2 linked regions of the Tribolium castaneum genome follow. The protein of the gene in region 1 interacts with the protein of each later gene in a pairwise test. Links are inferred from orthologs where the notes say so. Each region holds a gene or a part of one and is shown on either strand. Other genes may lie near its edges. The genes, in order: Eip63E and CycY.

Region 1 (16,836 bases):
TCCAAGAGCACTCACTGCACTCGTGCTGCAAACAAGTTATTCAAGTTGGAAATTATATTTTCCCTCGTATTTTCCAAACATGTTGGGTAAATCATTATTGTCTAACGGTGTCAGATCGGGTGACCTTGGCGGCCCCAAAATGTTACTAGTCACGAAAACTCCTACATAAAATAATGAAAAAAAAATTCCAGGTGGTCCACCTCGACTGACAATCAACAATCCCTACACACCGGACCCTCAGCGGAGTCATGTCGATATAATAAGGAGTCGGCCGACCCCCACACGGCCCCCTCTTTCCGTAAAGGGCCGCGTGGTCGTGGCCCTTTACAACTACGAGGCCCGCGACAGCAGCGATGTCTCGTTTAAGAAAGGCGATCGCATGGAAGTCATCGATGACTCCGAAGGCGATTGGCTAAATGTGATACATCTCATAACCAAAGTCCAGGGCTACATCCCTGGAAATTTTGTAGCGGCCGAATTGAGCGTCGAAAGCGAAGAGTTAGTATCGGTTTTTCCTCTTATCACAACGGGAAATTGTCACATCCTTTGTCTTTTAGCTGGTTTTTTGAAAACGTATCGCGAAAGGAAGCCGAGAAGCTTCTCCTCGCCGAGGAAAATCCAAGAGGAACTTTCCTAGTCCGTCCTTCCGAGCATAATCCCAACGGGTATTCGCTCTCAGTCAAAGACTGGGAGGAGATCAGGGAATACCACGTCAAACACTACAAAATCAAGCCGCTTGATAACGGCGGATTCTACATTTCCACCAACAAAACATTCCTCACTTTAGTCGAATTAGTCAATGCTTACACCAGTAAGTTGAAACTAGAGTAGGGAACGAAACGAGGTACAAAATCGCACCCCAAAAAATATAATACGGAGAGTAGTATTTTTACTCCCGGTACCAGATCGTTTTAAATTAATTCAAATTCAATTCAATTCACTAATTACTTGGAAAAAATACAGAAATGTTGTGCTTTGCATTCTTAATAGACTGAGAAAAAGTGACGACCAAAATTTTCACGAGAAATGTGGGAAAAAAGTTGTTTTAAATTTAAAATTTGCGCTTCGTCTCAGATTTTTCAAAACGCTGCGAATACGGTTTAACTGTCAACTGGTTTTGTTTTTCCGTAGTTAAGTCAAATTGTCAAATCGCTGTAGGTGTCTAGACCTGATAAATTCAACCCCCTCCAGGTATTCTCTAGGCGCGATGTATTCTTCCAGATACAGTGTAAGTATTTGGGTTGCGTCAGTATTTAACTTCTGAGTCAAATTTGACCTAGCAATACCAGTTACTTTGGCGTATTTTTTGATTTCGTTTTGTGAAAATGTCCCGCTTTTTAAGTTAGCTAAGTTGGCAGACGTTTTCAATTATTTATGTAATGATAGTGGTAATAAAACTGATCACTGATCAGTAAATAATGATGTTCAAGATAAGTGACAATGATCTGAGATCATTGAAGACAGACCGGCAAGAAATGATAAGTCTCCTCTAAACAGGAGACGATTCACAAACTACCCAGGCATGTTGTATAGAAAATGTTCTACATTTTGTACTAAATGTTGCAAAGCAATTTGTACAAGATGATCATCAAATCAGTTTGTGAAATAAATATACAAATTGTGTCTTTTTTAAGTTACGGAAAAAGCCACTAGTTTTTCTTTCAAAATTTTTACAACGTATTTTTTGGATAAATGTTTACATTACATCTTCTTTTAGTAGTTTGTAATGTTTAGTTTAACCTTGGAGTATTCGTTAATTTTTTTATGGCCAAAGAGTCAAATTTTGTTATTTCATTTGCTATTTGCTATATATTTGCTATTTTTTTGACCAAATATTTTTTATTTATGTCTATACAATGCATTCTTTATATCATTCAATTCAAAAAATAACTACCCTGTACATCTAAAATAGAGCTGGGTGTCAGTTATGTTTTTTACTTCCAAAATTCAGCTTTAAAGTATTGTGAAATATTTCATAATCATATTTTTAGTACATATTACTGACTTTAACAAACTTGGAAAATAAGATGTTTATTTACTTAAACTTAATACTTAGTAGTAAGGATCCTATTTTACAAAGTTCAAGATTTCGAAATAAAGCTTTATCCATCTGCTTGCGAGTAAATGGAATTTTTTAAAATTGTCTTTTTTATGCTTAAATAATCACCTATGATTAAATCAGCAAGTAGGTATACATTAATTTCACTGTGCTCACTGGAACAAAATTTGGCTGCTTTACTTTAAGATTTAACAAACCCTGATAACGGAAATATTCATTTAATTTCATTCTATTTACCTATTTATCAGATGCTTTTTGTAAATATCTATATAGTAACAAGTAAAGGAGTACTAGGAGTAGGTACTTCCTAAGAGGACAACTGAATGAGAATTAGGTTTTTCTTTCAACTTGAATATATATTTTGTAGGTAAAATTTAAAATGTCTTAACTATGTAGTTACAACAAAAGGAGTACTAGTAGTACTTGGTAAGAGACCAACTGAATGAGTACTAATTAGATTTCTCTTTCAATTTTAATGTATTTTTTATGTAAAATTTTAAGGGAACTTCATAAACAAAACAGAAAAAAAACTAAAGTTAAAGAATGATTCCAAATTTTACTATTAATAAAAAAGTAGTTACAGTTTTTTAATTTCTTTGGAAGTAGGTATAGTCAGGACAGCCTGGAACAAATGTGACGATTTCAATAATTATAAAAAAGATTACGGATACAGGTAAATTGAATTTTTTAAAATAGCACGAGTACGATTATAAAAAATTATAAGCATTTACCAATTTGCGTTCCCCGTTATATTATTGAGAAGGAAGGAGATGCGGTTGAAGATACACAAAGTAGTACGAAACAAAGTTATAGAGAATTAAATTTCCTACAAAAAAAGTTCGCGACACCATTTTTCTATCTCCAAGTTAAGTTTAAATTAATTTTTCCATTCTTCACCACCAGTAAAATGAAACGGATCCGTCGTTTGAACGGCTAGGGTGCCGTTTTTGTGGGAAATTTGTCCACAACTTTTTTGATATTTTTTTGCATCTGTTACCGCACAGTCTTCAGATTGGTAAAAGTTCGTAATTTTTTAAATACAGATGTTCCAAGTTTTATGGCCGAGGCAAAAATAAATATCTCTGGTCGAGTCAAAAAATAAATTGACAATCTAAACGATAGGAAATTAATTACGCTACCATTTGATACTTTGATATTCTTTAAAATTTTTAAGGTATTCCTGTGAGGCATTCAAACCAATTTTGGTAATTTTTGTTTTTAAGTTATTGGTGTATAACTCCTTTAATTTTTATAGCAATAATTGCTAGAATAGAATTATGCGAACTTTTGAGCAATTAATATTTTAATATTAAGGATCCAAACGCTCCAATAATTTACGACTTTGTGGTAATTGGTGGTCAAGGCATAATTTCTTTTTTATCTCTTACTACTGAGAATGTAATGCTCTATCAGTCTGTATTTTTTTTCTTTGCCTTGTGCTAACCGTTATTGAAATAGACATTTTTTAAAATTCGGTACTCCGGGGACGTTTTTTTTTGTACGTCGTTTCGTTTCTTGTAGTTAGAACAAACACGTTACGAAAAATTCCCACCCTTTTAGAAAACGCTTATGGCCTTTGCCACGTCTTGTCGAAGCCGTGCCCCAAGCCCCAGCCCACGATGTGGGACCTGGGGCCCACCTACCGCGACAAATGGGAAATCCCACGCGAGGAAATCCAACTCATCCAGCGCCTAGGCCGCGGCAACTTCGGCGAAGTGTGGTACGGCAAATGGAAAAACAACATCGAAGTCGCCGTTAAAATGCTCCGCGAGGGCACAATGTCCACACAAGCCTTTTTACAAGAAGCGGCCATCATGAAGAAGTTCCGCCACAAGCGCTTGGTCACCCTCTTCGGCGTGTGCAGCGAACACGAACCCATCTACATCGTCCAGGAGTACATGTCCAAGGGCAGCCTCCTCGACTTCCTGCGAAAGGACGAAGGCAAGGAGCTGGAGTTCGAGGACCTGGTGTACATAGCGTTCCAAGTGGCCAGCGGGATGGAGTATCTCGAGTCCAAACAATTGATCCATCGGGATTTAGCCGCGCGTAATGTTTTAATCGGCGAAAATAACATTGCGAAAATCTGCGATTTCGGGCTTGCGAGGGTGATTGAAGACAATGAGTATTGCCCCAAGCAGGGCTCGAGGTTCCCCGTCAAGTGGACGGCCCCCGAGGCCATCGTCTACGGGAAGTTCTCCATAAAGTCGGACGTCTGGTCTTACGGCATCTTCCTGATGGAGCTCTTCACCTACGGACAGGTCCCGTACCCGGGGATGCACGGGCGCGAGGTCATAGACATGGTCGAGAAGGGCTACAGGATGGGCAAACCCACCTCGCACGTGCTCCCCGACGAGATCTACTCGATAATGCTGCAGTGCTGGGACGCGAAGCCCGAAAACAGGCCCACCTTTGAGTTTCTGACCCACTACTTTGAAGGGTTCAACGTGACGTCAGAGGTGCCCTATCGGGAGGTGCCCGATTAGTGGGGTACCACCAATACGTATAAACACTAGATCTCAGTTGTGTTTGGTTTTCCACTCGCCCGTTTGCTTGCCGCACATTCTTCAAAATTTCTAAGACTGGTTTGAGTTAGTGTCCGAAGCCACGTACGATATCACGCAGTACAAAAAGGCAAAATTCAAGTGACCTATTCGAGAATTTAACTTTTATACGACTTTTTGTACGTCTTTTTACTCAAAATATTGGACGTGGACCAATACTTGCTTCCCTTCCTTCTTCAGTGTATTATTGTATGTGTGGTTGTCTTCAGTTCGAGTAATATCGCGTGTGGTGGACACGGAGCTCTCTATTTTTGACGGAGGCCACACGTGGTATTGGCTTTTTGATTTTTGGTTTTGTGCAATAAACAATGTACAAAATTCATTCTAAATTATTGAGAAACTTATTTTTAGAGTTATATAAGTGTTAATCACGTCTTAAATGTATTGCTTTTATTTTTGTTTTAAGTATATTTTTATTTTATGAGGAAACATAGTCATGATAGTGATCGTGAGTGTATTAGTATAATTATTTATGTTTGAGATGGTTATACAGTCAGATTTGATCCAGTCAAGTTTTTATCTGTTCTTAAGAAAAGCCATATGTTATTGATTTTTATATAGGAACAATCATATTAAATTTTGTACATATACAGTATGAATAAAACATTGTGCTACTCAGCGACAGAGAACGCGCAAAAAGATGCGCACCAACGCAGTAATGGAAAGTACAACAGTATATGAACCTTTGTGAATATTGCCGTGTCCTGTTAACAGAAGGAAATTCGGGAACTCAAATGTTTAAAAAGAAATTGTTCAAATGAAAAATTGAATTATTAAGGAAGATAATGAATTGATAAATTGATAACACAAAATGGTTTCTTTGGATGCTGCCTCAAGTTAAACTCGGGGGACTGATAACTCTGGAAAAGATGTGCAGATTTTTCTGATTTCATCAAAATTGTTTGTTGCCTTTCGGATTTATGGTGCTGTCCTGGAATTATTAAAATTCTTTCTGGAACCATTTGGAATGGAATTATCTGGATTAGTGTTTTTCTTTTTTTATAAACTGTATTTCACTATTTCTCAAAACGATTTCTTATTTCCGTGGTAGTTTTAAGAAATAGTGAAATACGATAATTGTCAAAAGGGAAAATCAGCATAATTTGGATTTACAGGAATTATTTTGAAATTAGAGAAGTTAATTTGGATTTTGGAATTACTGTTGAGTATTTTGGAGGATTTTTTTGTAACGGAACTTTCGGGATTTTTTTGTACCTAATTGGAATTATAGTTGTACACATTTTTTGAAAGCCCTTCAATTAAATCTCACAGGTCAGTAATTACCTCATTTTAAATAATTTTTGAAAGTAACGTGTTAAAAATTCAGTAGTTTTATTTTTTATAAAAAAGTTGACATTAAAATTACATGAAAAAAAATCGTAACATTCTAATGGCCTTATTAAAATATACAGACTGAATTAAAAGTGACGCACAAAGTTCATATCTTGTAATTACTCATTTTTCAAAAAAATCCTCCAACAGCTCGGTTTTATTTTTTTTAATGCTAGTGACGTGATGTCATTTGTTTTTGAGTTGTTGTGACGTCATTTTTACTTTTTTAAAACGCCAGCCGACATTTTTGTTTACTGTTTTATCAATAAATAAAACAAAGTTTAAAAACCCGACACACCAAACCTTTTGTCATTATAATAATATTAATAATAAATAAATAAATAAATAATTGAATTTATAATAACAGTATGAATTTAAAAAACAGTTGCGTTTAAAATAATTTATTGTGGATTTTTATTATTATTAGAAAACAGGACATAATTTTTTGGGTTTTTTTGGACATGGTACTAGATGGACCTATCTATGTTTATTGTATTTTTTTCATAAGATGTTTTTCTTAAAGGAAACTCAGTTACAAAAATATATTTAAACTTCCTGTTCAATTAATTGTTGGGCTCATTATTTATCTTAGAAATTCAATTTGTTTTTCTTTTTTTCATTTGAACAACTCGTTGGACAGGTCCCCATTTTTTTCTTATGCAGTGAATTCATTTCAATTGAATTAAAAAGTGAAAAATACGATCTTTTATTCTACAAACCTCAAAATTTGAACATATTTTGTGGAATAAAAAATCTGAAAAATCCACATATATTATGTTAATTTAAATAATTAAGTTTTGCGTTGGTGTTCGTCTTTGAGCGTTGTGTATTTTGATTTGAGCGCCATCTTCCGGGAGTGAAAAGGACGGGTCCGGTCTTAAAGCAATAAAAAATGAACACATCTATTACGATAAAACAAAATATAAAATATGGCAAAGTATTGCTTAAATCACTAAAATCAAACGTTCGCCATATAGTGGCGAGGACCTTGACGTTTGTTATAAAGTTTTAATTTGATTGTTCGAATGCACCTTTCTATAAACACCTCCAAGTCTTGCATCGACATTGGATGCCTTTTACTAAACAAATTTAAATAAATACCTAAAACTACCAATAAACCGGACCATAAATACCTAAAACATAAGAATTAATTGTAATTCGGAGAATTATTTTTACACTTACTGAAACGTAAAAGGTTTGCTGAAAAAAACAAATGATATGATAATAGTCACGGCTTTGCGGCACGTTGTCACAGTGACTGCCGCAAAAGCCCCACAAGTCCTGACTAGAGTGAGAACGATCTGAATCCCCAAATACCCAGTTAGTGAAAAAATTAAAGCGTAACCGTACAGTTTTTTTGGATTCTGAAAATATAATTGAAATCAAACTTTTGGGAAAAATGATCATTTAATAAACTACAGTAGAAAAAAATTGCAAGCCATCGGTGAAGTCGCCAGTGGCCACCATCACAATAAGGAGGTACACAAACCCAATTGAATACGAAAACAGGACGACTTCGGAATTCGGAGCCCCATAATTTTTCATTGACTTTTCCTGCACATTTCCTATAATTGCGTCGCACAGCAAGGCCATCGAGATCATGAAGATGCCTTTAGTGTTAAAATTTGGTTGTACATGTGAATCGGCTGAAATTAGTTCGAGTTTTTGAGTCACTTATTAGGGGGCACATGGCTTTGATTAGTGAACATACACACCCAGAGTGAATAATGTTAGTCCCACACACATCAAAACAGCTGCACTAAAGTCCAAAGGCCCGTACCGTTTGCCCTGAATTAGAATACTCCCGACAAGGACCGGAATTAACTTGCAACACTTGAAAATCACTTGAGTCGGATAATTCAAGTAACCGAGCGAGGCATTAGAGAAACCCATGGTGCCAAGGGTCAACAGTGCGAGTAAAAAGTACGTTTGGATCGGAATTCTGGAACAAATCGGTGTTCTGGGGCCTTAAAATCGAACCACTTACGATCGAGAGGTTATGTTCCTTATTCGTGTCTCAATCAGGCCAAAGACGCTGTAAAACCCGAACTGGACCAACGTGAGGTACCACCCGAAGGGCTGGAAGCCGTCGATGGTGAAGATCAGCTCTTGCATGTACCCGTAAAGGATGAAAAACACGAAAACAGCCCCACTGCAAATGAAAAATTGGACAGGTTGGGAAAAACGAGTGATATCGAGGAAAAGGATACTGATTTTGGGGCTGTCTGGCTCGGGGTTGAGCCCCCCACGCTGAGCGCTGCGTGACATTTTCAATTACGGGAAAAAATCATTACTTTTGCTTGATTTGAGACACGTTGACACATATTCAAATCATCTGACACTTGACGTCCCACCAGGCTCGCCAATCGTCCCCCCAATCATTTTGAAAATAAATTGACAAATTAAATTCCCGTGGTTTATCAGGAGGTGTCCGGTGGCCCAAAGTCAAAATCCCCAGTGTTGTGACAAGGGGGCGAAGCGCAATCGGCGCCAAATCGCCCGAAAATCGCCAAGGTCAGCGGCGCGGATGCCATCTGGAGGCGGCCGAGCAAGCGAAATCAGTAATGGCCGCTGGGTTTTGGCAGTGTTCTTCGTGTGTAAATAAGTTCGCGTAAAACTAATTAATAAACTTCTAATTATGATAATTTTAGTTCGGTGAGAGTGACTTATGTTGTAGTGTTAAAGTGTGTGATTATGTATTGTACGGTTGACAAAAGCCACAGTAGCGGAGCCTCAGCCACGCAGCCTAGGAGCATGAAAGATGGTAAAGCCCCCTTGATTTTCTACACGCCGGAAAAAACCGACACTCGGGCGAATTCCGGGCGCTTTGCTGCGTTTTTGCCGCGGTTTTGTGGACAAGCTCCAGTTTTTGCTACCTGGCCCGGTTTCTGCACCCCAACATGTGTTGGTGCGAGGGACAACGACCAGCGTTAATTGAAATTAACTCTCGTATAAATAGACAGTCTCGTCGGTAATTCATTGCTTGAAAAATGCAGCTAGGAGCAAAAACCTTGATAAATTGCTGATGTCCCGTTGTAAATAATCAACAATTCACAATTACACGTTGACGCAGCAGAACGACCCATCATGGGCATGGTGGGGCTGCTATTGTCCATGGAAGCAATCAATTTGCGTTTACAGCTTGTTTATTAAATTTGTCAGAGTTTCCGAAGCCCCAGCATCCAATTCAAACTTTGCGCTTTATAATTAATGTAAATGACATGAATTTGGTATTGTTTGAGGTAAATTAGTTTAGGTTTGTGCTTTTTGTACGCCAACTTCGAGCCAATACAACTTGGCAATTTATCGACGATGTCGTCCAGATTTTGGGTCGGGTCTCCGGAATTTATGGCAAATAAAAATTTAGAATGAACTTGACCAACGATATTGCGGAGGTGGAGAATTTTTCAGCAAACCCTCACTCGAAGTGAGGTCGTGTTTTTATTAGGGTGTTGAAACCGTTATTGCAAAACATGGAATAAGGTAAACAAAAAATGGAACGAATGAACAATAGGCTTGCATTAATTGATGCAAATCGTTTGAAATAAACCAAATTGCCTCAGAATGGAATATTTAATTGTTAAGACTATTATTTTTGTGAAGGGGTCAATAAATCGGTATAGCTTAATATGTGCACCTGCCGACTGCCAATTGTACATTTTTTGTGTATAATCGGCAATCGCTAAAAGGAAAAAAATCTGTTTGCAAATGAAAATCATTTAAGATGTATTAGTGGCAAGTACACTATTCAGAATTTGCTGCACTGTAGGAAAAATGTTGTATAAGTTCAATAATGAATAGCTAATTTGTATATCCTCGACCTTAATCTGCTTATTTGTTGCATAAATGAGAATCAATCCATCAATCACTTTCCCTTTCCAAATTAAGTATTGTATTATATTTTACATAGGAAATCATTTAAAACTTTTACACGATAAACACTATTCACAATATTATTTCAAACAGTATAATCTCTAAATAAAGCAAATAATTTTTGCAAAATACGTACCTACTTATTTTTATAGTACCTTTCAAGAATGCGAAATCCTACATACATTTGCATTCAAGTTCCAAACAATGTTTTTTCGAGAACTGCACTAGTATGAGAAGGTATGTTTAAAAAAAATTATTGACTTTTCTTTTAATAAAATACTTTGGCGTTCTAGAACATACAAGTTTTTTGGGTGTAAACGACATAAAAAAGTTAATTTGCGTAATGAGAATTTAACGAAAATGTCAACATTTGGTGACAGTCTTTGAAAAAAATTTTTTTTCTTTTTAGGTGAGTATAAAATTTTTCTAGGTGAAAAAAGCTTTCTAAAAGACGAAAATTATTAAACTTGGAGATTGCACATTTAGGAACTAGAGCACTTAACAAAAACCTAAAAAGTAAAAATACTTGATAATAACTCGTCAAAAAATTACTAAAAAATAAAACATTTTTGATTATATTTTAATAAAATACTTTGGCGACCTAGAACATAAAAGTTTTTTGCGGGTAAGCGACATAAAAGAGTCACTTTGCGTAATGAGATTTTAATGAAAATGTCAACATTTGATGAGTCTTCGAAGAAAAATTTTTTTTTTGGTTGGTATAAAATTTTTCTAGGTGAAAAAAGCTTTCTAAAAGACGATAGGTTCGATAGGTCTCGGTTTGTTAAAAGTTATTAAACTTGGATATTGCACACTTAGGAACTAGAGCCCTTGAATAAAACCTAAAAAATAAAAATATTTGAAAACAACTCCCCAAAAAATTACTAAAAAATAAAACATTTTTGATTATAGCTTAAGATTTCTACTCGTAAAATCTTAAGCTCTAAGTTTAAGCTCTCTTCTGATTGAGAAAAAAATAGTACTTTTCATAGATTTTAAAATAATAGTACAGTATTTTAACACTTTTTTGCTAAAGTTTAGAGAATATTGGGAAAAGATGCATTGCTTATACAGGTGTTCGAGAAGTTAAGGCGTTCCATTCAACAGATGATAACATCCATTGTTCTTAAGAGTTTTAATCTAAAACATCTTAGTAAAATGTTGATGATAACGAAGGTACAATTACTTCATTTTTTGAAATCTTTGAAGGCGGCTCTGTTTAAATTTGAGAATTGCCAAAAAATTAAAGGGCCATTGGCAGTAGTAAAAAAATTGTCATTGTCACAGTTGTGGTTACAGTAGTTACGAGCTTACAGATTTGTTGATATTCTAAGGGCAGTGCTATCAAAAATATTTAAAAAAATTAAAAGTAACATTATTGCAAATCTGGTATCCATAGAAATGAGGTAGATTATTTTGAAATGCTTATCTCTAACTGGAAAGTAATCAGGACTGGACTCAAAATTTTAGAAAACTATAAAAAATTTCTCTGTTAATAAAAACGTTTTACTAAGACGATTAAGTTAAAACTTTTAAGAATAATGCATTGAACGCCGCAACTTTGCGGCGTGCAACTTTGTATTGTGCGTGCAAGTTTTTATAGTTTTTTATCTCTTCTAGTTTCACAATTGTTCTCGAAAAAAAATAGCGTTATCGAATCTTTCTGTTTTTATGTTTTGATCTGAAATTACGAGTAATCTACGTTTTTCTGCTGAGATATTTTCAAAATGTTTAAATCAGAAGCGGAATTGTCAACCTTTTTACGAAATTTACCACGCGTGAATTTAATTGTTAAACAAATTTTGTGTTACATATTTTTTGTTCTTTTGAGAGCAGGGAGCTTCTTGATGTCACTTTTGCCTTTTCCAAGTCGTCACGTTTCACTTAAAGTAATAATTTTCATACATTTCAGAATTTTTATGAAATGTCGTTGAAACGTTACGACCTAAAATTCCAAGATATTACATAAAAATCTTCACGTAAAAAGCGTCGATATTAACTTTTTTCCCTGTCTTGCCTATACGCAACGCTTAAAAAATCATAAAGTAAAATGTGTTTCACATCAATTCAAGGATTTTAAATAATAAATATTGATTTAAAATAAATTCACTTTGAAGTAAACTGAAGAGAGAAAAGTGTCTTCATATTTTACCACACACTAAACAAGTCTATCGATTTACGATACTTTGCACAATAAATTCCATTGAAGGTTTGTTTATTTGAGTAAATTGATTTCACCCGAATAGTGGAGCACTGGAATTTCACGTTACTTTATCTCGATACATATTTTTTGTTTACATGAAATAAAAGTCGTCGTATTGATTAATAATTTGCGATTAGGATCTCCAAGTAGACCATTAAAATATAATGGAACATGGTCATGGACATAAACGATAAACGTGGCGTGGAGGTTTTTGCTCCGAATAGAAATGGCCGCATTAATATTTTTCTGTTAAGGTTGAAGAATAGCAAAAATGTTTAAAATGTGAGAAACATAATAAATGTAGTGGCACATTGTATTGCATTCTCTTTTTGGTACAATGCTTTCTTACATTTTGAGCACTTTATTTAGTTCGAAAGTCTCTATTACCGAAAGCGCCGCAAAAATGTGTCTAGTAAACTAGAAAATATCTGCCTGGATGCAATTTTCTAACACGTTAAACCGCTCGTCACAACGGTAAACCCAACATAATTGTCCCATTTCAGTGTGAATTACAATGCAAGCAACTTCTCTCTATAATCTGTGGACATTATTCCCTCCAACTGCAGATAACATTAAGTAGATGGCGATGTTGCGGATAAGTTTATAGTTTTCAAACTCGAAGGAATAAACAACGAATTTCCTCCCAGTTCTCGTTGCGAGAAAAAGGAGAATTTGGGCCGTTATCTCATCCATCTGTTTTTATAGTTTGTTTGTTATTACTCCAATCATTCGCCACGACCTTGTCCCTGATAAAAATCAATCTTTTTGCATCGTCCTTGAGTAAACCGCGTTCATCTATTTTCCTCTTCTCCCCAACCAAATATTTATCGCCGAAACGAAATGATATTAGATCGTGTAGTGTAGTTTTAAAGTCGGTCCCTCGGGGATCCCTCACCGGAGAATCAATAATGTATCTCCTTGAAATAGCAACGACGACAATTCCTCGGTATTTTCATTACATTACGCAATTGTGGAGGCGTTTTGGCGCCGCTCCCGCTTTGACTTAGGTCAAAAGCGATTCTTTCGTTGCAATTGCGGTTTTCTGAAAGCTGAAACGACGGTCAACAACCCGTTCTCTTCGTACTGCTGCTGCTGCTGTTTATGGTCAGTGGGCGAAGCTGCGGCCTTCGAGCGGCCCTCGCCATCGCCACCGTACCCACACTCTTCCTGCGTGTTCTGCATTCTCTCAAATAACATAATAACCGACCAATCGGCCCAACGTGGAAAATACCCATCAGGAGGAAGCAATACACAATAATCATTAATTAAAAATACAAATTATTTGGTAATTGCTGGATAAATCATTGTTTTTCAACGGCTGTTTCCTCTACTGAATTTTAATTTTTTTCTAATATTATACGTAATATGTAATAGTAAATACTTTACTTACTTACAATCAAATTTACATTATTCACTACAAATGCAAGTTAAATCGACTAAAGACAAGGAATTATGGAACAAAAATTTAAAGATTCAAAGTTAATATCATATATTTTTTTTTATTTCTGTACTTTAATTGGTTCGTTAAATGTTCGTTTGTGATCTGTTTTTTAAATGACATTCGTGAAGATACAAGCTTATGACCAATCAAAATGGGTTATGGTAACCATGGGACAATTTGTGACCAATGGGAATGTAAGAGGATAGCAATTATTGGATTGCTTTGACTGGTCGGATCATAGAAAAAATAGTGTATGCAACTCGCATTTAATGGACTTAAGACGAGTTTGCAAAGATTGGAGATTTTTGCAAAAATTGCATTTGATCAAAGCATCTAATTGGATATCAATTAGAAACGTTTGGAATTTCAGGACTTTTCAGTGTACATTTTCAGATTGATTCTTCAAGTGGACATGATAGAGTGGATGCTAAAGCGAAAAATAAGGTTTACAATAGTTTAGTATTGAAGATGACTTTCAAATATTCTGTATTTGAAGTATGAGGATGCTAGCAATTAAATGTCATAAGCAGATTCAATGGATTCTTGATTTTTGGTGGAAGACATTACACAACATTGTAGACGAGATGAAGTGAAGTTGGTTTTCATTACAACATTTCTAAGTCGACTTAAGATCATCAAGAGAGGTTTAGAGTTTGTAGACAAAGTATTGTACATATTATTAATGAAAAGCAAGAATAGTAATGGTCCAAGAGTGGAACCTTGCGGTACACACGACGTTGTAATATAACTATCCAAAATGTAATTCTGACATTGAATTTTTGGCTTTCTATTCCCAAGATATGATTTTATTAAGAATTGCAAGACACTGAAAAAAACTGAAGAAAAGGATCAAGTTTCGACAACAATAGACAATTATTATCAGTTTGGTCAAATCCTTTATTAAAGTCAATAAAGACATCAACTTGAAGAAAACTTGTTCAGGGAGAGACCCAGTTCTTAGATTTATGGAAAAAATTTCCCGTAGGAAAATGGAACGCTTTTTGCTGTGAAAACATAGTTGCTATTCTCAATAATTCTTATAGGAATATGTTTGTGGGAAATTTTTACAACTTACTCCCAGTTTCAAAGCAGTTTTTCTTCCTAAGTTTTTAGAATCTGTGAATTAGGTATTGTTTCTTTTTTGCAATTTTATTTTATGGTTTGTTTTTTTTTACGTTGTTTTAATAGTCTACATTGAATGTGATTGTTTATTTTGTTCACCGACTGTTGTAGCGAATTTTGATTACGTTTGAAACTTAGTGGCACTAATTGCTCTTGATGAAGCCGAAATTGCAGCAGTGCGTTCTAGAATTTATTTTTAAAGAGAAATGCCATTTCCAGATTTAGTCGTAAACTATAGATTGTGTATTAGATTTTTGTCACATAACGAGTGTTCGTGAATTTTACAAAATGTAACAGAAAGAACAGAATATTTGACTCTTCCTGAAAGAATTAATGGTCTTAAAATTTAACAAAAAGTGCTAGTTGTCCTCAAATTTTATGCATTAGTGGTTACCACACTGATAAATGTTTTTGTTGGCATTTCCTAGTGTTTGGCATGTCGCACAATAAATGAATTTAGTGATGCTTTGATTGGTTCTAAATTTTCCACATCCGCTACAAGAATTTGAAGCGATACCTCAGCAATTTTGTTTCTTATGGTATATCTGGGGCCCATTGCCTGGACTCTCATAGAAATTTTTTACATTTTTATTGGCTAGTGGCTAGTGCTGCCGTAGGAAGTATTTTCCAATGGGTTTTGAGAATAGCAGATTCTGATTTTATAGGAGTTTGTATGGGAATTTTGGCATAGTTAAAGAATCTGGTCACAGAAAGTCGTATATAAATTAAGTAAAATAGATCGTATTTGTGTCATTCGATCTTTTTTCAACACATTATAAGTCGTAAAATAGTGATTCCAAAACAATCGAGAAATCGCATAAGATTTAGATTGGCCTGTCGTTTTCAATTTTTGTTGGAATCTTTAGAAGCTTCAAAATCTGCAGGATTTCATCCTCACTTATCTCAACTTATGCAAAACCGGCATCAAACCAGACAAATCATTAATGTCTTTGGAATTTGATATGCGACAAAAGACCAAAATTTTTTTTTGATTATTGGAAATTGTGTTTTTCGTATGAGCAGTGATTGTTAGAGTTTAGCTTGAGACAGAAGTTTTTTTTAATTTCTTTAACATGTTTGACGTATGACCAAGACAGCTTGTAATGGTATTGTAGGAAATGTGCGATTATTTTTACGACAGTATAGTTCTGAAACAGTTGACTTAAAAGAGTTAAAGAGACTATAAAAAACTCGACGTGCCTCACACACATCGCATAATTCTTCCATTTCGGACCATTATACTAATAATTGTAAAATTGCATAGAGGCGAGCGAAATTTGCTTTTTTAATGTTAAATGCGACGTTATTCCTATTCATCTGGAACATGTCAGGTCTTTTTGCTAGAATCTCTAACGTAAATTTTAAACTTGGTTGAAAAGAGTCCTCCGAAACAAAAGAGGAAGGGGAATTACCAATGACACAGACCATGTTATAGAAAAGACAAGTCCCTAGATGTTATTTCGCCGATTACATATGCTGTTAAACTGATTAAAATTACAAAAAAAAGGAGCAGCGATTTACGGAAATTCTAAAATTGTTATTTGAATGTCCCTTGAATTAAGGGCTGTTAAAGTTTTGTTATTATGCCGTTCGTCAATACTACTAACTATATGAAAGAATGGGTCCAAGCCCAAATCAGTGAGAGAAGAGGCAAGTTCTTTCTATTTGGTTTATTTAATATAGATTTTAATTCTGAAATGACATTTTGTGCTCTTGAAAAAAATTTGTCGTAAGAAATTGCTTTTGGTTGTTTTGAGTGTTTGTGCCATGTTACCTTCATAGAGCTTTTTACAAGCGATGATAATTTAATTAAAATCGAAACGTCGCTAAAAATATAAAGTTTAATTACTCCTTGCCTTAAACAACCAAAAACAATTTCTTCCGTCATATATTTTGATGATAATAATTGGCTAAGGTTTCGATTTATTGAGATTCCGTAAAAATAATAACATTTTCTGTCTGTCTGAGGAGTTCAAAGACGAGAGAAAAAGTGCACATAGTCTAAAAGCAAGCGGTCGCGCTGCCGTAATGAGGAAATTGAATTTCTTTCCGTTTTCTGCAAGAATCGCCAGAAATAATGGCCACTCAAAGTCCAGGAGCCGTTGTCTGTGTAGTGTGCGATCTTTTCGCGCCCTCCTCCCTGTCGGAATGAATTTCTCTTTTTCCTCAATGACGGCAATATTCGAAAGGAACGAGCGTCGTCTTGTTTGTAAACTTTCCCGCATATTGTGCTCCGGTATTATTA
Region 2 (16,554 bases), on another chromosome or scaffold:
TTCCAATTTCAATTTTTGTTGGTTTTCTGGTGTGAATTCGCCTTCGGCGAGCCGATCTTGCCATTCGACACAAGCCCGTGCAAAAAACTCGTTATTGAGTCCGGAATTGCTAAGTTCGAGCGAATCCGTCGAATTTGTTACACTATTATTTCGATCAACGTCTGGTAATAATTGCACTAGTTTGTTTTGGTACAGAAGTGGTAGAGAGGCAAAAGTCGCTTTGTTGAGTAGTAATCGCAGGTTTGTGTTGACAAGGATCGAGTCAGGAGTCTCCAAATCGATGCAGCCCTCTTTGGTTTGTTCCAATTGCGCTGCAGTTGAAAGTTTCTTGTTAGTGCGTCGTCTGGGTTTCATAGTGAAGCCGGGAATCGACGCTAGGACTTCCCGCATCGTAGGGGCTTTGGCTGGGGGCGTCTCCTCGGGGGGCTGCGGAGGCAACGGTTTGACTATTATACGAGGAACCGTCGAACTGTTTCCCGATGCAATCGTCGTGTTCTTTTTCCTGCGTTTGGCCTGCTGTCGCAGCGCGAGCTTGATGGCCTTCTTCGTGGGCTCGGGGGCCGCTTTTTCTGACACCACTTTTTCGGCATTTTCTTCCTCGCCTTGACTCGAAGCACCGTCACTCGCCTCGGGTGTAACGTCTATTTCCATCACGTAACCGAACAGTTGAGGACATTAAAGTTTACTTGAGTCGATTTTTTCGACTTGTGTGTGAAATACGACCGAATTTTCAGGCGAGCATTCACCCCATATTTTGGTGCGCGTTCGGGTCACAACAGGACTCGTTGCCATTCATTTACAAAATGCTAGGAGGCGACAACAGTCTTAGTCTTTTTGTTTAAAAGCACTCGGTCTTTGACAATAAAACACCATCCGCCATTTCATAACCGGGCCTAATATAAACAGGATTTTTGGACTGCTAGGTTGGCCACACTGGTTGCAACTTGCAACCGTACGACTGGTGCCAACATTTAAATTCTCGATAATATCAATAAAAAGACAACGAACAAATTAACATTGAATTTAACTTGCTTGCTTCTGTTTGGTATTTAATTATTAATTAATGGTGAAGCAGCAAAAATTACAACAAGCTAGACACGAATGCACTCCTATAATAGGTACACATTTTCTTTTTTTTGTAAATAATATAAACGACTCCTACCGATAGACGTTATCAGTGGCGTAGTGAAGGTGGTTCCGCGGGTTCCGAGGAACCAGGCCCGGGACTGTGAAAGGCCCGGTCAAATTTCTTACTTATTAACTTTATTGTAAAAATAAAATAAAAAAGTTTTATTGTTAAAAACAAAATTGGCCTACTATGTATTTAAAATTCATGGAAAACACTGAAGCGATCTACGATGTTTATTTTAAATACAAAACAAAACTGCTACTCACAATAACTACAAGTTGGTTACAAGAAATGGCTGGCTCTTGTTTTCTAAACACTAGCTCGTTTGGGTTTAGAATTATTTTTCTCCTTGGGACACTTTTAAGAAAAGTATAAAAAATAAAAATAAATGTGAAACACGACTTTATTACTTCTTTTACGTATTTTCAACCTTCATTTCTTCAGTCGTTATGCAGAGCTCAGATTAAAATCAGCTTGACACCGAACAGTGTTCAATTTTTGTGTATTTAATCCATTAATCAGTTATTGAATATGACCTCCGTAATTTATTTTCCGATTTATTTATTAAAACTGAGGCTAATAATTTTTAATTTAAAAATAGCTTTAATAGTCGCTGACTTGGACACTGAATCAAGCACGAATTCTTCAAATTTGGATCTTTGTAAGTTATCTTTAAATTTGGTATTTAAATTTTGATTCGAATTTTACTAGGTCCTGAAAAAGATGACATTACTATTGTCAATGTTACCGATAGGGGTCATTTTCAGGCAGTGTTGACTAATTCTGAAAAACGTTTTATGTTTATCTAATTTATATTTTATATTATATTTATATTTATATTATATTTTAATATTTTATCTAATGGCGACCTTGCAGACCCCCTGGTCTATTCCCAAAAAATTGTATTATTACACAAAAACTTCAGCAATGGGATTTAAAAGTACTCGAACCTGGTTATGTTACTCTAAAATCCTTAACAAATGTTATTGTCAACCATGTTGGCTATTTTCTAAACAACAAATTAAACTCAGTTTAGGGTTTGATGACTGGATACATTTAAATCGAACAATTAAAAAACATGAAGAAAAGTTAGAGCATAGTCAATGTTGTGCAATATACAAGGAGCTCAAAAACTGGCGTACCAACTACGCTGTTGGTACGCTGTTGAGAAGCATGTGTAGATCACGGAAAAAATCGTGAAAAAATTCCTAATGTCATATTTTAAAAAATATGGAGCTACAAACTTATTTTGTAAACTTCTTCAGTTTTCATTCTTTTTTTATGTTTTTATGTTTCACACTAAGTAATCGTTCCCTAACACAACAATGAATAATTATTTTTAAATTTCCTATCAGACTTTAGCAGATTTTTTAATTAAAAAAAATAAAATTCGTTAAAAAAATCACAATTTGTAGATGTGTCAACAATGGGAATTATTACCTAGGAAACCGTTTCAAAAATAATTTATTTTTATTGTTGATCAAGTTTTATGGCGATCATGACTGTTAGACAACGTTGCCACATATCATTTCATTAAAATTCGTTATTTATGAATAATTTTAATACAAAGAATTTTTTTACTATTTTTACCTTTATATGTAAGCAATTCTCTACCACACTCCAATGAGTTGGTGCGCCGGTTTTTGAGCACTCGGTATGACAAATGGCGTTTAAATAAAACTATCGATTATACAGGGTGTATCAGAAATACGTGTCTTAATTTTAACAGGTAGCAGAACTCAACAAATAAAGCATCTTTTCTATTTTTCAATAAAAAATTCGCAAATTTACTTAAAATTTGAAAAAAGATAACATACTGAAACGTGTACTCGCCTATGGGTAGGTACAAAAATAAGAGAGCCGAACTATTTTCGTTGTGACAGAAACAGACAATTTAAACAATTTAGAATAACAATGAAAATTGTTGCTATGAATACAAACTATTAAACACTGACCCGCTCGTTTGCATAAAAGAAAGAAGGAAAACAGTGAAAATTATAAATAAAAATTTTGCAAAATGTTATATAGAAAAGTTGTGGTATTTGATGAGTTTTATTACGTGTTAAAATTAACACACGTATTTCTGATACACCCTGTATTAATGAAGAAGTAATTTGCCAAGAGATCTCATCTTGGAGGAAGGTTTTAAAGCGTGTTATTAGCGTTGCTCTTTTATTGGCTTCATGTAATATGCCGATTCGAGGACATGAAAAAATTGAGTCTACAAATCCAGGGATGTTTTTGGCGACTATAAAATTATTATCTAAATATGATCCTGTGTTAAAACATCTTCTAGAAACTAAAACGAAAAAATCAGTTACATACTTTAGTCGCCAAATTCAGAACGAAGTAATACAATTATTATCAAATGCAGTTAAAGAAAACATACTTGAAAGAATTAATGCAAGTCCATTTTATTCAATTATAATTAACATCACCCAGGATATTTCAAAAGTAGATCAAATGAGTTTAATTATTTGTTACGTAGAACTCGTTTATTCTCATAATATTTTGAAAGGTATAAAAGTGAATCAATCCTTTTTAGGATTTGTACCAGTAGAAAATCAAAGTGCTGCTACATTAAGTGATAAAATAATTTCTACCATTAATAATTTAAATCTTCCGTTAAATAAATTGCGAACCCAAACATATGGCGGAGCCGTCAATATTAGCGGTGTATACAATGGGGTTCAAACAAACATTTCGGAAAAAATTGGTTATACGCCATACATTCACTGCGATGCACATAATTTAAACTTAATTTTAAACGATTCGGTAAAAGAAGTAGAACAAATTCGATTTTTTTTTGACTTTGTTGAAAAAGTATACGTTTTTTTGGTCATAGCATCATACGCTGGCATTATTTATATCCAGAGAAAAATACAAAAGATTTTAAATTGAAAAAATTGGTACCTACAAGGTGGTCTTCTAGTCATGACGCACTGAGTGCTTTACGGTATAAATGTGTAGATACAGGGCGATTCAGATAAAATAAGGAGCCTGACAATCTGGCGATGCAACCCAAAAAACACATTTCATTTACGCCTTTCACCCAATTTAAATTAGGATTTGCAAGTTGAATCAAAGTTATCAACTTATGTCACTCTGACGTTAACGCAGAGAACGATCGTTATTGCGATGATATGTCTAACACCACCGTTATTGCCATTCAGTTTTCGTGGAATGATAGAGAAAGTAGAGAACTCTTTTCAGTGTATAAACTACAATACAAAATATATGAAAGAATGAAGCATTAAAGGTAGGTATTCAGTTTTTCCAAAATCATAAATTGCAACAGTAAACAGGGAAACAAAAAATTAACTTTTAGCGAAAAATGTGTTCAAAATGCTGGCCTTCTGCTAGTTTTTCTTGGCCCGATTATACGATTCACAAAGATGCGAGATACCACACTAAACGTTCACCAAAACAATTAATTGGAAATGTGTTTCACTTATCCCCAGTGTATCTTTTTGAGCATAGTAATGACTGTTGTGCAATATCATTAATGTTAGAAAATCGGGCTTCCTCACAATAACATTTTCTGAAGTAAGTTGTTGCCAACTTGTATTTATGTTCTGATAAAGAGACAAAACTCTAATCTGCGTTCAAATTCAGTTTTCCCAAGTTCTCGCACTAGCTGAACATGATAGGTAAGAAATTTATTTTTTCTCAGCGGGTGTATCAGAAATACGTGTGTTAATTTTAACAGGTAACAGAGCTTAACAAATAAAACATTTTTTCTATTTGTAATTTTTCAATAAAAGTTTCGCAAATTTACTTAAAAATTGGAACAAATAACATACAGAAATGTGTGCCCGCCAATGGGTACAAAAATAGTAGTAGGTATCGAACTGTTTTTGTTGTGATAGAAACGTATAATTTGAACAATTTAAAACAACAATAAAAATTGTTGTTATGAATACAACACTGACCGGCTGGTTTGCATAAAAGAGAGGAGGAAAATATATTATATTAAATAAGAATAAGAATTAAACATATTAAATAAGAATTTGGAAAATATTATATAGAAAAGTTGTTGTACTTGATAAGTTTTTTTACGTAGTAAATTAACACACGTATTTCTGATACATCCTGTATACCTTCAAAACCTAAATGAAGGAAGTGTCCCTTAATTTTCTGATTATGGTTAAGGAAAAACTAAATAGTTTTATATGTGCAAAAATCAAGTCTAATAAATATTTACCCTTGATGTAATATACGGACTGTTTATAAAAGAGTGTAGAATTTTAGGTGGTTCTGGAATTTAAATTTACCGCAATTAATTATTGAATTTTTAAGAAATTTCTGAAAAGTACCAATTTTTATTTACTCAGTAATCAGTAAAACCAAATTTTTCATATACTAACATTGTTTGTTTTTTCTTTAAAGAAGCGGCAACCTTTTAATACCTACTACGATCCTACATTCATTTTTAGACAGATTGTAAAAATTTGCTAAGAAATGTTTTGATTTTCCACATAGTAAAACAACTTTATGTTGCATAATGAAATCTATTAGCTATAGGTATAAAAAAGTTGACTCCAAAGATTATCATAAAACTATGAATGGTGCGTTTTTCAAAAAATAGGTGAGCGCACTCAGCTGCTCCTTCATTTGCACTCATTAAATGTTAAGGGTCGGTTTACAGAAAGCGAAATTAAGACTTAATTCAAAATTAAACTAATTTGTGAAACGTAAAGGTCGTTTTACACAATCATGTCATCTTTTATTTTGAAAACGAGATACGTTGATACGTTCTTTTATTTACATCAATTTTTTTTGTCCTCAATATTGCAGTGGCCGACACGGAATTTTGGACACCTATGACATTTCGTTGACATAAACGTCATACTTTTTGACAACGAAGTGACTGGAGTGTCCAAAATTCCGCGTCCGCCACTGTACTAGTTTTCTTATAGTTCATTTTTTATATAATCAACTGTCAATGTTAAAATTTTGATAAAGACCAAGTTCATGACCAACCACTTTTGAAACTACCTTCTGTTCATTTTCATAAAAACCATTGTGGTGGAACTGACTAAGCTGTTACCATGACAATTTATATAAAAGTTAGTGCCAAGAATGTAGCTGTATTCTGTATTTGACATTTTGAACACCAGATTTGACATTTTTCAAAATTTGACGTTAGTGTTAATCGATAATTCGTTAGTTTAAAGATGGTCTAAAATAACTAAATGTGTTGTTGAATGTGTTTTAAATTGGAGACACTTGAAAAATTTGGAAATTGAATTTGCCAGATAAAAAATTACACTAACCTTGATTCAAAAAAATTACTATTTATGGTAATGCCAACCTGGGGGCTCTTTAACAGTAGATTATAAAAAAAAGACTATATGTCCGCTTTTAGAGACCTTTACCACAGTCTACTGAACTAAGGATTGCGAGCATTTTAGTTGCCTACCCTACAGTTCTTTACTAGTAAAAGAAAGTGTTGAGTGAAATATCTCATTAATGCAAGATTTCTTTATTCACAAATAAACGGAAAACAAATTACTAGCGGCTAGCCCTTGCCGGTCTACAAATGTTCGCTCAGTCGAAATGTTGCGAGCGAGGTCGGAACAGTACGAACGGAGACCATAACGGACTTCTCATTTCAGCTGGGCTGGTTAAGTCTAAAGAGTTTTCTGAGTATTTTAAAAATAATTACATTAACAATCGGCATTGATGGGCATATTGGAATAGTGGTTTTTATGGAAATATGTTGCGCGTTTAGTTAACTAAAAGGAAACAAACCCCACGACCAATTAAACTCGAAAACGTGGAACTCGAAACGTGGAATAGTGTTTATGTTTATGAACTGTACGCCACCCTAGCTCCATAAAAAAACACTATTCCACGTTTCGAGTTCCACGTTTTCGAGTTTAATTGGTCGTGGGGTTTGTTTCCTTTTAGTTAACTGGGGCGAAGCCCCAGCCACGCGCAACATATTTCCATAAAAACCACTATTCCAATATGCCCAGCTGAAATGAGAAGTCCGTTATGGTCTCCGTTCGTACTGTTCCGACCTCGCTCGCAAAATTTCGACTGAGCGAACATTTGTAGACCGGCAAGGGCTAGCCGCTAGTAAACAAATTCACTTATTTTGTTAAAATTAATAGTGAGCTGGTGAGGCATCGGGACATACATGGTTGCAAGGTTGGTAGCGCAACCACTCGTCTAATTTTTTATTCCAGTAAAATAATTTTTTGTTAAAATTATAAGTGGATACTACTGAAGGTGGTAATAAACAAATCGTTTATAATTTATAATATCCTACGGACTGTTCTGTTTATAATATTGATAACAATTTGCACGTTGCATGTTGCAAGTTGCAACCGTCCAAAGCATCCTTCAAAGTTTGACAGTTCGGTTCCTTGTCCGAAAAATGTGTTTAATTCGCCGTTTGAAACAACAATCCACATAAAACCATGTAATAGTAAACAAGTTGTGCGCACCGTCGAAATCCACAAACTCCTCACCGGCTGCATTCGCAATTGCCGGCTGAAACAAGGCGTTCACTCGTGGGTGTTGATCTAAAATCGGCTTATCTGCGTGGACACAATCGGTGATAAGATGAGCTGCCGCAGATAGCGATGGCACGCTAAGGGGGCCACCATGGGCAACAAGAACAGCTGCTGCTCGTACTCCAGCCCGCAGACCAGCCACCGCGTCATCATCCCCATTGAAGATACGCTAAATGAGGGCGAGGTCAGTGTCAGTAACCTGCAGCATATCAGCGAGCGGGAGGCAGACGACGGCGACGCCGACCCCTCGCAAGACCCTACGGCGAAAACCATCTTCATTGAACGCTCCAAGACGGCCATCGAGAATGGCATGATCCGCAGGAAGAGCCAGCACCAGATCGCCGATTTGCGCCCCCTGAAGAAGAGCAGCTCGTGTTCGACGATTTATTTGGACGACAGCACAGTGTCGCAGCCCAATTTGAAGAACACGGTCAAGTGTGTGGCATTGGCGATTTACTACCACATCAAAAACAGGGATTCGCAAAGAGAGATTGATATCTTTGATGAGAAGCTGCATCCACTGACCAGGGATGGGGTTAGTGACGATTACGACAAGCATAATCCCGAACACCGACAAATTTACAAGTTTGTGAGGACTTTGTTCAATGCTGCTCAACTGACTGCTGAGTGTGCCATTATTACTCTAGTGTATTTAGAACGGCTGTTGACATATGCAGAGTTGGATATACAACCTTCCAATTGGAAAAGAATAGTCTTAGGTACGTATAAACTACGAAAATAATTAATATTTTGATTAATAGTTAATGTACAAGGTGAGTTTGCTAAAAGTATACCGGATATTTTGGTTTGGTTTTTCCATACTTTTTTGTACTGGGTGACTTTTAAAGATTGAGGCTAAAAAATCTATTGGCAACATTGAGTTATTGGCCTCCCTGCTAGCTTGTTGTATGGAGTTGTTTTATCTGACGGCCATGTCAGCGATCGTAGGTCGAAAATGAATGACAATTGAATATAAAATTTTGAGAAATAAATTTAATAGTCAAGGTTGCGAAATTTAGTTTTCAAATTTGTTACCAACTTGGCCACAAATATCACAATCATTAATAGTCACCCGGTCTAGTAAAAATGTATTATTACAAACCAAAACCGAAATATATTCTTGATTGAAATGACAAAATCTTTTCAATTAAATCACGAGTTTACCTTATGATCATATTTGTCTATATCTGTCGAGTTTTTTTCAAATGGTACCCTGTATAATTTTTTGCTCTCTTTGATAGATAATTTACTTGTAATTTTAGAAATGTGTCACAATATGACAAAATAATAGTAAGCAAACAAATAAAATTAAAAAGTATACAGGTGTCCCAAAATTGGCGAATTCCGACTACAGAGCATTGTAGAGAATCACTTCAGTAGTCCAGATATAGAAAAAAATAAGACTGGGGGCTTTTCCACAAAGATACACTGGTTTGAAGATTACTCTTTGAATTTCGTTTTTTTTTTCAAATGCAAGCTATAAGTTTTGTGATTTATGGTGTAGATGATTGTGGAGAATAATAATGAAAACCATTTTTTTAATTAGCCTTATTTTGGAGTAAAAAAATTTAAATTTTGGTGATTTTCGTCTGATTTTTAAGAAAGATTACGAAAATTTAAGATTGTTTTACTCCAAAATAAAGCAAATTTTTTGAGAAATTGTTTTACATTATTATTTTTTACAATCACCTACACTATAAATAACAATAAACAATGAAATTTTTTGCTTGCATTTGAAAAAAAAACGCAATTCAAAATGCACCGAAGTACACATTCAAACCAATGTATCTTTGTGGGGAAGCACCGAATCTTTATTTTGTTTCTACCTACATTTGGACTAGTAAAGTGATTCTTTACAACATTCTGAACTCGGAATTTGCCAATTTTGAGACACGCTGTATATTATTTCAGATAAAAAAGCTAGATGACAACGAAAACAATTAACACTCTTGTCAACTTTTTTCATTCAAATAATCTAGCCATTTTTTATAATCACAGATTTAAACTGATTGACAAGGCATGATATTTTTTGATACTTTAAAATGAAGTGAAATTGTTTTTATAGGTAACTAAGTTTTTTTTTTAACTAACTATATTAACTGTTTCAAAACTACACACATCTGAAAAGTTTAGGGATATTAGCAATTTTTCTAAATAATAATGTAATGAATTTAATTTTTGTAATTTTTTTGAAATGAATTGTTATTTCTTTCAAATATTCCATGAAAATGACTTTGTCATTCTTACAATTAAAGAAAAACAAAAATAAAAAAATAATTTAAATTAAATTAATTAATTAAATTTTTAAATTTTTGAACTTGGTTTAATTAATACGAAATCGGTTCTTCGTCCGGTTTGAGTTCTACCCTACGACATGATTGTTTCACTTAAGTAAGGATACATTCCTGGACCTGTTGGAAAAGATTTTCTCTGCCAGATTCTCTTCAAATACGCATTCTTGTTGAACCCGGGTAGATTCCAAATAGTTATTAATCAGGAAACAAAACATTAGCTCACTGTTGCAAATTTCAAGGAACAATTTGCTGAGCCAGTGAAAGTCTGGCTATGCGTTTTGACTAAACCATTTTTAACCGCAAGAATCTTAACCTCTTGTCTTGCATTATACCAAAAATTATGATAATAGTTTGATTTTTATGCAAGATATTGCTAACTGCACACTTCAAGTGGTTAAGGAATATTTACAAAGGTATCGAAATTTCTGTTTTGCTGTGGCCAAAACAATCTTCTGACTCTTTGAAGTCGTCTAGCATACACTCCAAATTCTATGGATAATTGTTCCGCAGAAAAATCATCAGGATTTATTCGCTGCCTTAAGGGCAGTGTAGAAAGAAATCTTTTAAGAAAAGATAAACAACTATGCCACGGCGATGTCGAGCTGTAATAACCAATAGGAGTTGCATTAGTTATTAAAAATATTATCTTATTTTTATTTTTTGTAATTGTAAAATCGTCGCACAGGATCAGGTTACAAACATCAGTCTTTGTTTTTGATTTTCATGGAATCTTTGAAGTTTACTCTGATAAATAACAATTTGTTTAAAAAAAAGCCAAATATTTCATTTATTATTATTCAGAAAAATCATTAATTTTCTGATGTGTATGTAAATGCCATCCCATAGAAAACTCGCCTATGGCTCGTTATCTAACTTGGGATTCGTACGCCAAATCAAACCCTTATAAAACTTGTTTTTTAATATACTATTATACGTTTAGAAAAATATTAACTACAAGTAGTACTTAATACAATGGTAATATTACATGTTGTTATTACTGTTTGTTATTTTTTTTTTTATAAAAAAGTTACAAGGATGTGAATACCAAACTGACACATCAGGTTTTTTTACTGAATCTCAAAAACTAATCACATTCGAATTCAACGTTTGCTATTAAACAAATAGTTTTTTTCTCTGCATGGAAATGATTCTTGCACCAAAAACTTATTTGAAGAGTACATGGGAAAAACAAAGTAATTTTTCAAAAAAAATTGGAAATTTGAACTAAAGCGCCATCTAGTAGGAAAAATTGAGAACTATGGATTGCTGTGTCAATTCACGTAAAAAAATATTTTTAAAGGTATTAATAATGTTGCTTATTCCATAAATACGAATACAGGTAGTACATTTTTATTCTACAAGTGGTTACTGTGTTAATTTAGCTATGGTTTGTTTCTTCATTTTACTCTGGCGTACTATTTTTTTTTTTTGGGTTCAGAATTTTCCAAAGTCCTAGCAGTGAGTTTTCTTCTTTTGCAAAGAGGCCAATTTCTTCTAAGTTCCCTCTCAGGACTTTTAAAATTCATGCCACTAGAATTTTGTTTATTTGGGAAACGTTGAGCAAACAAATTCATTGCAGCAACAGCAATGCAGGGTACAATGTGACAATAATGACTAGCACCGATGTCAAAGCTTATCAAGGACTGTCAGTAACATAAGATTACTTGGATTGCAAATGCAAATCGTAATTAAAATTAGATCAAGACGTAAATGAAATTGTTTTTTGGGTTGCATCGCCAAATCGTCAGGCTCTTAATCTTATCTGAATCACCCTGGATAAGAGAAAACGTTGTTTATACACGTAAAAAAAAGTTGGCATAATCTGCTCTTGATTGTTTCAGAAACCCCTCACTCTCAGATAATGAACAACTTTTTTTTACTTGTATAATAAACTACTAGTTTTTGATTTTTTCCTTTTTCTTTAAATGATAGAGGTATCAAAAATTTGGTTTAAGTTAAAACCTTAAGTCAAAAGGTCATTGTATGACACTAAAAAACTTACAAAAGCAATAATATTCCCTAAAAACTAAAATTAAAGTTCTAAACACAATATGAAAATTGAACCAAAAAACCTGTTTTTTTTTCAGAACGTGTAAAATTTGTCATTCCTTGTTTTTCTTTTGTACAATGGTGGACAAATTAATCGCGTATACTACGAAAAATCAAGCAACACATTTTTTCTAACTTAATGTGTAATTATGTCTTTTTTGAAGTTTGAAGGTATTTTTAGAATAGAGGTTATCGGTTGCAATTAGAAATTGTCACTCTAATTTAACAGTAAGGTAAGAATGACACTTTATTTACAAAAATTAGTACAGCATCGATTGCAAAATTAAAATTTTTTTATGGCTCCATTTACAACTGATACTTAGTGTGATCTGTTAGAAATGGATGCATTAAGGTCTATAATTTTTGTTAATTTCCTTCAACCGTTTTGAATAACATCCCAAAGTTCGTTTTTGTTCTCAGATCTAAAATTCCTTAATTATTATTTAACAAATGTTTCACCTTATCCAGGATTTGACAGTCATGGTCGTTCCGAACCAACTTTTTTTGTTCCCATCACTTCTTTACTCTTATGATGTGACTCTCCTCCAGTTTCGACAATGTAAGAACTTTGTCGTGTTCAGTAAGTATTGTCAATTTTAGTATTTGACACTGATGAAAATGTCATGCTAATACCTACTAGATCCAGCAAAAATACGGTGTACGCGACTATATTGTCCACCATTGTATATCTCATTTCATTTCATAGTAGAATTTTGCTACATTTTGACAACATTTGCGCGTAGACAGTGAAATGAAATTAATAATTTGGACCGTCATTAGTTTATTCGTACAAATGTATTCTGAAAATGTCTAAGACGTCTAAGGCAATCCCTTAACAAATACGGGCTTTTGTGTCAAATACGTGGAATTTGAAAATTGGCCGAAGGATAATGAGATTTCAATTTACTTACTTGCACTGGCTTTTGAAGTTATGTATGTACATTACTCGAAAGGGCCACATATCATGACTGGTACAAAAGCCTCTAAAGACAAAGCTGTTTCTAAAGTAACCATTTTAGGGAGCGTGTACCAAAAAAAAATCTTTAACGTTTTTAAATATAATTTAGACCTCGGGAACTGTGGTAAAACGGTGCTTTAGTTTTTTACTTTTATTATTTATTATTTACTGTATTCGGGCTTATCGAAGTTTTCGACCAGCTGTCCCTTATTAATAACCGAGCTTTTATAAATTTTAAAATCCTAATTTGTAAGCAAAACTATTCTCATCTGATAGAAAAACATACTTTTGATTCACTTTCATAAAAATCATTGTGGTGGAATTAACTAACCTGTTACCATGATAACTCATATAAAAGTTAATGCTAAGATTACCCAATTTCCACCACAATGGTTTTTATGAAGGTGAACCGAATGTAATTTTTTACTTTTTAGTGCATCTTTTAAATATAAGCTTTTTTCTAAAAAAACATTTTTTTTATTTTAATTTACTAAAATTTTTGTTAGCAACTTCATGTCGAAATAATTTCAAGGTTATAATTTTTGTCAAATAAATAAAATGACATAAGTTTACGTCAAATTTAACCAAGGACGTAGAAAACGTAGGAATTTTGGAATAACTATTTAGAAAAAGAAAAGAATTGAATAGCTACAAATTTAATATTAATGTTCACATTTCTGAAATTTGTCGATCTTTATTTTAATATTAAATACATAACTTAAAAACATACTTCAATGCTAAAAATGCCTTTCTTCCGGTTACAATTTTTAGTTAAACGTCTCGTCCTAAAATTGGTCATTAAAAACTCATCATATTTCTCGTCGTCTTTTTAAATTTCCCAAAAAAAAAAGATATTAAAGGTCTTCTTGAGTGAAAAGCGTAACAAAATCGTGAATTCAAGTATCTACGTATTTTGTAAATGCATAGATTTTGTACATAACATTATTTAGACAATCCGCTTTTCCAAATACTTGCTAATAATAAACGTAAAACTTGGCAGGAAAGGTTCAATTTCTTTCTCTTTCATCGATGATTACCATTTCTTAAAGTTAAGTTTATGATGAAGAGTTTAGACTAAAATTCTTGTACTTACAAATTAAAAATGAACGACGACTGCCAGTCTAAACCATTTCTAAACATTTTTGGACAAATTTATTTGACTTTTCGCTAAATTTAAAGTGTAACATCACTGAATTCTATCCCAATTTGTTTTTATTCATATTCCAGCGGACGTATATGAAACATAATTTTGAAAATTTACATTCAGTCTCCCACCTCTCCCTATTTAGGAACTTTAGTTTGCATATAAGAAAGAAGGAAAACAGTGTGCTTTGTAAATAAGAATTTTGCAAAACATTATATAGAAAAGTTATTGTATTTGATGCATTTTATTACGTGGTAAAATTAACACACGTATTTCTGATACACCCTGCATGGTACATTGTATTGTATCCACAGTAACCTAACCCAAAAATTTTTGCTGTGAATGTACTGCCCTAGCCAATCAAGACTCATTTAAGGCGTTCCCCGAGAACTGTCAAAATGATGTGCTCATACTTTTATACATATCTCAAAAAATAGACCACGGAGCAGTACCAAACAAAATTAATAAATAATTATTCATCGTTTTGTTAGTGAACGATCATTTAGTGTGAAATATAAAAACATTAAAAAAATAGTGAAAACTGAAAAAGTTAACAAAATAAGTTTGTAACTCCAGAATTTTAAAATACGACTTTTTTTCAGTTTTTTCAAGATTTTTACCGTAATGTACACATACTTCTCAACAACGTACCACTAAGCTGGTGCGCCAGTTTTGAAGCACCCTGTATAATTGTGAATTTGAAAATTCTACAGTCAAAAGAAATTAGGGTATATTAATATTTATATTGAATTTATTTTGTAAAATGTACTTAGCAGGATGAGCATAATATATTTGTTTGTTTGGATTGGGGCCATTTAGGTCATTACAACTCAAACTCTCCAATGTCATGGCCTAGTTAATTATTTACAAAATTTATTGCATTCAATAAAATGTAATCAGAATTTTTTCCAAACTGCATTTAATTTAAACGCATGGTAGTTTTTATTAATTATTATACGCACGACGAAACCACGTAGTTTTTTTATGAGAAGACATATAAGGTTTCAAGAAAAAAAAATATTTCTGGTCGATTGCGTTACTTATTTATTTAACAATACATACACGTGCAAATTAAGTAACCGCATTCAAGTCCCCTACACTTGAGTTGAATTAAGTAATAGTATTCGCTTTGATAACAAATATTGTTGTTTTAATCTGGAGGACTATTTTCGTTTAAATTGTCTGTACAAGTAATTGAAAAACCTACCTATAGGTATTTTGCAATAATTGTCGTTCTCTTATATAATTTCTAACAGGTTTTTTGGTGGAAATTACCACTCACTCACAAGTATTAAAAAGTCGTGTATCTACTTTCTTTCAGTGTTACTAACTCCAAATAATTAATAAGTGTTAGAAACGTTTTTCAGATTATTGAAATAAAAAATCAAGACGCTCAGACCAAAGTTTATTTAATTTAGTATTAGACACATGTGTACTGTTCCACGGCCTAATTCACTATATCTCCCGGCTGATTTTTCTCTAAGTAAATAACGACAAAAATAAAAAAACACCCAAAATCGTTAAAAATAAAGCTTATTCTTTATTATATGTCATTCCAGCACTGCACTCGAGTGGAAGTTTGACACCAGAGCCGAAGACAAGAGTAGCGGTCGAAGAATGCATTACATTTTTTGTTTATTTGATGAGATAAAAAAATAGAAAATAATTTAAGCCTTCGAAAGCGATATTTTTTTAATTTTGTAGAACGCGAGGTGTTGTAAAAGAAATGGATAATACTTTTTTTGGCAAAACGTTCAAATAGATTTTAAAATTTTGAAGTCGTGTGGTGTGGTACAGTTGATAAAGTTTCTAAATATTGTTATTATGTGACAAGTTGCATAAGTTAATATCATTAAATCGCTGTATTTTTTTGCAGGTGCAATCCTCTTAGCTTCCAAAGTGTGGGATGACCAAGCTGTGTGGAACGTAGATTACTGCCAAATCCTCAAAGACATAACCGTGGAGGACATGAATGAATTAGAACGTCAGTTTCTCGAGTTGCTCCAATTTAACATAAATGTCCCTTCAAGCGTATACGCAAAATATTACTTCGATCTACGTACCTTAGCAGAAGCAAACGATTTGACGTTTCCTAGTGAACCCTTAAGCAAAGATAGAGCGCAGAAATTAGAAGCCATGTCCAGAGTAATGGAAGATAAATACACAACGGAAGCGATCAAAAACGGACTAAAAAAATGGTCCAGTTTAGATAATATTACGAACGGTGGGACTGCGGCGAGAAGAAGCGTCGCCATTTTGTCGTGATCAAAAGGATTTTTTTATTTTTTAAGAGATCTACCAAAGTATTTCTAGTGGAAGTTTTTATTTTTATTTTTTCTTAGATCTTTTTATTTCCGATTCATATTTATTATATTGATGCTTTTGTGTTTGACTTATTTATTACTGGCGACTCACTCAATTATGTTACGTAATTTAATGGAAAAAGCCTAATTGAC

What was found.
Region 2: the proteins of Eip63E (region 1) and CycY interact in a two-hybrid assay, tested with the Drosophila melanogaster proteins (2 studies listed by BioGRID). The link is inferred for Tribolium castaneum from reciprocal best matches to the Drosophila melanogaster genes Eip63E and CycY.

Annotation. Positions count from the first base shown.
Region 1 is NC_087394.1:24,269,521-24,286,356, reverse strand, and holds the start of Eip63E (cyclin-dependent kinase 14), read left to right. Parts: upstream 1-8,395; 5' UTR 8,396-8,549; exon of another isoform or gene 8,550-8,603; 5' UTR 8,604-8,646; coding exon 8,647-8,716; intron 8,717-16,836. Other genes in the region: tyrosine-protein kinase Src64B, read left to right, coding at 192-498, 558-811, 3,620-4,542; Papst2 (adenosine 3'-phospho 5'-phosphosulfate transporter 2), read right to left, coding at 6,911-7,085, 7,135-7,316, 7,372-7,598, 7,668-7,894, 7,940-8,220.
Region 2 is NC_087398.1:15,840,231-15,856,784, reverse strand, and holds the start of CycY (cyclin-Y-like protein 1), read left to right. Parts: upstream 1-7,259; 5' UTR 7,260-7,744; coding exon 7,745-8,372; intron 8,373-15,974; coding exon 15,975-16,363; 3' UTR 16,364-16,554. Other genes in the region: polycomb protein Asx, read right to left, coding at 1-651.